Linked DNA regions of Coturnix japonica. The protein of the gene in region 1 interacts with the protein of each later gene in a pairwise test. Links are inferred from orthologs where the notes say so. Each region holds a gene or a part of one and is shown in the gene's direction. Other genes may lie near its edges.

Region 1 (2,697 bases):
ATGTGTTACAAGCTGTGCCATGAAGAATCGAGTCTTCCCCTTGTTTGAGGCTGGGCCTTCTCACAAGGGCAATGTAGAACCAGCCTGTTGTACCCATTTAGCACAAAGTCTCAGCTCCCCAGAACACCAGACTTCCTAAGGAACATAGAGCTGGGGAAAAGCTTGCACCATGCTTGCCTGATAAATGGGGAACTCTGCCACGAGAGCACTGCTTTTGCAACCAGGCTTTTGTGTCTGTTACTGATGAGCTCTGAACCTCCTTGTAGATTGACAGCTTGAAGCATAGCCTCATGAAGGCTGAGGATGACTGCAAACTAGAGCGTAAACACTCAATGAAACTGAAGCACGCCATAGAACAGCGTCCGAGCCATGAAGTGATGTGGGAGATCCAGCAGGAGAAGGAGTTGCTTTTGGCCAAGAATCAGGAGCTGGAGAACACTCTCCAGGTTGGTGGGGGGGTGACTGGGTGAGGAATCTAAAGAAATTATTCTTCTATGCAGCCAGCACAGCGATGGAGCTGTACTGAGTGTTTTGAGGGTCAGCTATGGCCTTGTTCTCCCAAGTTGTACAGAGAGCACGTTGGATTTCAGAGTTAGATGGTTGCTGTATCTTTTGTTCAGCAGGTTGCCAGAGAACAGAATTTGGAGAAGAATCTCTCCCGTGAGACTGTGCAGAATGACTGCAGCCAGATACTGGAGCGCAGGGACCTGCTGAACACCCTGTACCACCTCCGCAAGGAGCTGCGCCAAGCCGAGGTGCTCCGAGACAAAGTGTGTGGTGCAGTACAAATCCCTGCTGGGGCTCAGTGGGGTCAGATGGGCAGATTAAGCACATAAAGTGTCTTACCAGTGAAGCAGCAGAGCTGCGAGGCAGCATTCGCTGATGCTTCTATTCTAGGGTCTGTGTTGCAGTTTGAGGGAAAAGATGTGCTAATATTCTAGTGGTCTGAGTCTGTGACATTAACTGTGTTACCTGTTGATGCCTGTGCCTCAGCCTGCAGGGTGATGGGAGCTTATATCATGATTGACAGCTCAGGTACATGTAAAATCTGCCATGTTAGCAGGCTTTCTAGTCATACTGCCTGGTCTTCTGGTTGGCTTTGCTCCGGCAGGGCAGTCTGGCTTTGGTGTTGCAGGGAAGTCTGGCTATAGCAATCTGTGATATAGAGCAGAAGTGATGAGATTCTAGCTTGGGCTCACCCCACAAGCCATGTCTCAACAGTATGCAGAGGAAAAAGAGATACTTGAACTACAGTGCATGTCTCTGAGGAAGGACTCCCAGATGTATAGAAAACGGATGGATGCTGTCTTACAGCAGATGGAGGAAGTGGCTTCAGAAAGAGACCAGGTGATAAAACGTTCCTCCAGAAGCTGCTGCTAATCCCTGGCTTGCTGCTTGAAGCAGGCAGGTATTGTAACCCTGAATGTGGTGTCGTGCTACAACACGTTGCCTCTTACACCAGGCACTGCTGACCAGAGAACAGTTCTACATGCAGTACTCAAAGAACCTGATTGAGAGGGATGCTTATCGGAAGCAGATTCGGGAGCTGGGGGAGCGATGCGATGAGCTGCAGCTGCAACTCTTCCAAAAGGAGAGTCAGCTACTGGCTACTGAAACCAAGCTGAAAAGGCTGCAACTGGAGCTGCCTGCACTGGTATGTTTGTGGGGTTATTGTGTGTGATGAGTTGGAAAGTGTTGAGTCTAGGATCCAAATAAGACTGCTTTGAGACACTGAGACCTAACCAATCCGATTTCAGCAAGCAGTGGCCACCTGCTTGGGTAACCATTTATTTCTGTGAAGACGTGATGGTTCTTAGGAGCTCACCCTGGTCTGCTGAAGCCTTACACATTTGGAGTGCTTCCAGACACCATAAAGGCATTGTCACCCACTAAAGAGTGAACTCTGGAGTCTGTACAAGCCATTTGGGTGAAATAGGAGCAGGGTATGAGAGTTCATGGAATTAAATGAGACATCTGAAGACTTGTAATTATTGTGGCATCTTATGTGCTTTCTCCAAATGGTCAGATGAGTGTAGGAGGAAGTTAGTTCACATTTCTATCTTCTGGAGCTTTTGATGTCCTCTGTGTTCCATTGCAGCCATTTATTCACTCATGAGGAGTAACAAACTTACTGGTTTTATTTCAGACTTCTGACCTGGATGACACCTCCTCCAGAGATTCCCAGGATGTGAGTAGGGTGCCTTGTTTATGTTTCATTTTCTCCTGGGATGGTTTCAGCTTCCTCAGTTGCGCTAATTCCCAAAGAAGCAGCAGTCTGTGCTCCATGGGTCAGGCTCACAGCAGTGACATCAAGTCCTGAGGCAGCAAAGCAGGCTAACAGCTAAGGGTGGCTTCTCCTTATGTCCTGAGACTTCTGACCATGGGGATGCAGCTGTGATAAGATTTAAGTCCAAGCAGACCAGAAGATTCAAATTATTTTGCATTGCTTCTAATCTCTCTCTTATGAGAGAATGTGCAAAAATAAGTATTATCCTGAGAACATGCGTAGAAAAGAGGGTTTTGGTTTTTTCCAGCTTAGTTCATAACTGTGGTAGGGGTTGTCACATTGTCTGGAGACAAAATGAATGAGCCCATAGTCATGGAGGATAAGTCTGTGTGTAGATACACAGCTTCTAGTTCAGAATGTTTCCTGTTTTGCTTACAGCAAGATGCAGTGGGGGAAGGTCGGTTATATGC
Region 2 (3,944 bases), on another chromosome or scaffold:
TTTTAAGGATGAATATTGTCCACTGATACCTCTGGGCTGGTGCTGACACCTTACAGAGAATAAAAAAAAAAAAAAAGCAAGCTAGAAGCATCGTGAAGGTCCAGAGAGATGGTGAAATGATTTGTAAAATCATTAAGGTTGGAAAAGACCTCCAAATATTCAAGTCCAACTGCCAGGATGTCACCACCATGCTCACTCATTGAATTATAGCTAGCAAACATAGAAAAATACACCCAACCAAAGCTTCCCCATGAGGGAAGGGGCTGAGGGATGGCAATGGGGGGCTGAGGAATTGTGATTGGGGCTGAGAGAAGGCAATGGGGGCTGAGATCTGTGAGGGAAGGGGCTGAGGGATGGCAATGGGGGCTGAGGGATGGCAATGGGGGCTGAGATCTATGAGGGAAGGGGTTGAGGGAAGGGGCTAAGGGATGGCAATGGGGGCTGAGATCTATGAGGGTAGGGGCTGAGGGATGGCAATGGGGGCTGAGGGAAGGCAATGGCGGCTGAGATCTGTGAGGGAAGGGGCTGAGGGAAGGCAGTGGCGGCTGAGATCTGTGAGGGAAGGGGCTGAGGGATGGCAATGGGGGCTGAGATCTGTGAGGGAAGGGGCTGAGGGATGGCAATGGGGGCTGAGGGAAGGTAATGGCGGCTGCGATCTGTGAGGGAAGGGGCTGAGGGAAGGCAATGGGGGCTGAGATCTGAGAGGATAGGGGCTGAGGGAAGGGGCTGAGGGGTGGCAATGGGGGCTGAGGGATGGCAATGGGGGCTGAGGAATGGCGATTGGGGCTGAGAGAAGGCAATAGGGGCTGAGATCTGTGAGGGAAGGGGCTGAGGGAAGGCAATGGCAGCTGATATCTGTGAGGGAAGGGGCTGAGGGATGGCAATGGGGGGCTGAGGGATGGCAGTGGTGGCTGAGGGAAGGTAATGGCGGCTGAGATCTGTGAGGGAAGGGGCTGAGGGATGGCAATGGGGGCTGAGGGAAGGTAATGGCGGCTGAGATCTGTNCGGCTGAGATCTGTGAGGGAAGGGGCTGAGGGATGGCAATGGGGGCTGAGGGAAGGTAATGGCGGCTGAGATCTGTGAGGGAAGGGGCTGAGGGAAGGGGCTGAGGGATGGCAATGGGGGCTGAGATCTGTGAGGGAAGGGGCTGAGGGCTAAGATCAGTTCGGGAAGGGGCTGAGGGAAGGCGATGAGGTCTGAAAGAGGGGTCTGTGTAAAACAGGGCTGATCTCTGTGAGGGAACCGGCTGAAGGACGGCCATAGGAACGTCACTGTGCCACGCTGACCCACGGGAAGAGGAAAGCCGCGGGCGCGGTCTCGCTGTCTTTCCGGTTCAGTTTTCACTTTCTGTTTTTTTTCAGCCCTCGGCCCGCCCTCTCCTTCCCCTCCCCGGTGTTGCCTTCCCCTCCCTGGGGGCTGGCGTTGTTTTGCGGTCTCGTAATGCCGCCTCGTTTCTCTTGATTGCCTCCCCCCCCCCCCTTTCAACCCGCCCGGCCCCGGGGACCGCGGAGCCGAGCGGGGAGGGTCGGGCGGGAGTTATGGCGTGAGGGAAAGGAACGGAGCCGAGAGGATTAAAACCCCGAATATGGGAGAACGGCGGGATGAGGCGGCCCCAGGGCCGGGAGCGGGTGAGTATCGCGACCGGGGAACCGAGGGGAACCGAGGGGAGCCGGGTCTGTCTTTTCCTGCTGGGGTTGGGGGGGGTTTGGGGCGTGGATTTAGCTCCCCGTGTTCCCTTTTGGAGCGGGGTGAGCCTCGGAGGTTTCCCCCCTTTAGGATGAGGGATAGAGAGCAGCCCTCGGCGCTATAGGCAGCCATCCCAATGCCTTCAGGCTCCCTTGGTTCTATAGACAGCCACTCCATGCCCTTCAGACTCCCTCAGCCCCAAGCCAAGCCCTTCAGATCCCCTCCCTGCTACAGGCAGCTACCTCAAGCCCTTTAGACCCCATCAGCCCTACTGCAAGGCCTTCAGGCCCTTTCACCCCTACAGACAGCCATACCAAGGTTTTCAGACCCATCACCCCTACAGGCAGACACTGCAAGGCTTTAAGACCCCATCAGCCCTACAACCCCAAGCCCTTCTGACCCCCTCAACCTTATAGATAGTCTTCCCAAGGCCTTCAGGCCCCTTCATCCTTTCAGAGAGCCATTTTGAGCCCTTCAGACCCCCTCACCTCTACAGACAGCCATCCCGAGTCTTCAGACCCTCTCAGCCCTACCCCAAGGCCTTCAGACACCTTCAGCCCTATATGCAGCTACCCTAAGCCCTTCAGACCCACCCACCCAGCCTGACCTCAAGGCTTTCAGACACCCTCAGCCCTACTAAAAGCCCTTCAGACTCCTTCACCCTTACAGACAGCCATTCCAAGCCCATCAGATGCCCTTACCCCTCCAGCCATCCATTCCAAGCCCTTCAGACACCCTCAGCCCTACAAAAAACCACCCCAAGGCCTTCAAATCCTCTCACCCCTGCAGACAGCCACCCTATGCCCTTCAGAACCCCTCAGCCCTTCGGACCCCTTCACCCTTTCAGACAGCCATTCCAAGCCCTTCAGACACCCTCAGCCCTACAAAGAGCCACCCCAAGGCCTTCAAACCCTCTCACCCCTGCAGACAGCCACCATATGCCCTTCAGACCCCCTCAGCCCTACAAAAAGCCACCCCAAGGCCTGCCCAATCTTCTCACCCCTGCAGACAGCCACTATATGCCCTTCAGACACCCTCAGCCCTACTATAAGCCCTTCAGACCCCTTACCCCTCCAGACAGCCATTCCAAGCCTTTCAGACACCCTCAGCCCTACAAAAAGCCACCCCAAGGCCTTCAAATCCTCTCACCCCTGCAGACAGCCACCCTATGCCCTTCAGACCCCCTCAGCCCTCCTATAAGCCCTTCAGACCCCTTCACCCCTCCAGACAGCCATTCCAAACCCTTCAGACCCCCTTACCCCTCCAGACAGCAACCCTATGCCCTTCAGACACCCTCAGCCCTACAAAAAGCCACCCCAAGGTCTTCAAATCCTCTCACCCCTGCAGACAGCCACCCTATGCCCTTCAGACCCCCTCAGCCCTACCCTGAGGCCTTCAGACCCCACTCAGCCCTATCTCAAGATCTTCCAAACTGTAACAAAACTGTTTTAATTTCTCCTTGGGAATGCATTGGCCATTCTAGGCTTCCCATTTGCTGTGCATTCTGGTAAAGGTAAAATGGGGAAAGGTGCGGTCTTTATTTTCTTGTTGTTGCTTTGTGGCCTCTCCTTGGGAGCTGGGTGAAGTTATGCAGATGCCCTTCAGGAGAGCAGGGCATGGAAATGCAAACAGAAGTTTCATGTGCAGGATGGAGGCTGGGAGACCTTTGTTTCCATTTTGGACCCTTGTTGGGATGGGAACCAGCATTACAGGTGGAAAAATTGGCATTAGAGTGGTGTTTCTATACTGGTTTTGCACAATTCTGCCTCCAGTTCATCCCCAAACTGTCTTGCAGAAGCTTGGGCTTGCCATCTATATGCACTCCTTGATAGGGGGAAATCTGGATAGACAGAACTCCCTAGACTGTGTTACTTTGCTTAACCCCAGGTGAAGAGAAGGAACACTGGGACGAATCATAGAGTCATATCATAGAGTGGAGGCTTTGAGGAGCATCTGTGGAGATGAAAGAGAGCAGCATGTGATGTGATAAAATAAGGATTGTAAGACCTGTAGGCAAAGGACACCTCCTCCATTGCTGGGACCACATTGCAGTCTCTGTGTTCTGCCTTGGTTGATCGGTTTGCAAATAGTCTGCCTTAATTTGGCTCCGTTTTGGGCTTACACTGAATGAGTAAAGAGGCTTCCGTGCTGTAGTGCTGCAGCACTAATGAACCAGGGCTCATTATGAAAGCTGGGCTGCACATGTAGCTAAAAGAAGTTTGCAGGTAAAGAGCTGATCAAGCAAGTAATAATGTGTT

The links. The genes of interacting proteins can lie anywhere in the genome.
Region 2: the proteins of CARD9 (region 1) and TASOR2 interact in binary tests that used the Homo sapiens proteins (3 or more experiments, as listed by UniProt). The two-hybrid records come from large-scale screens. The link is inferred for Coturnix japonica from reciprocal best matches to the Homo sapiens genes CARD9 and TASOR2.

Annotation. Positions count from the first base shown.
Region 1 is NC_029532.1:6,405,219-6,407,915, forward strand, and holds part of CARD9 (caspase recruitment domain-containing protein 9), read left to right. Parts: intron 1-266; coding exon 267-446; intron 447-620; coding exon 621-770; intron 771-1,221; coding exon 1,222-1,347; intron 1,348-1,462; coding exon 1,463-1,654; intron 1,655-2,146; coding exon 2,147-2,188; intron 2,189-2,524; exon of another isoform or gene 2,525-2,697. UniProt on the Homo sapiens protein: Adapter protein that plays a key role in innate immune response against fungi by forming signaling complexes downstream of C-type lectin receptors.
Region 2 is NC_029516.1:1,112,310-1,116,253, reverse strand, and holds the start of TASOR2 (protein TASOR 2), read left to right. Parts: upstream 1-1,144; 5' UTR 1,145-1,585; coding exon 1,586-1,628; intron 1,629-3,944.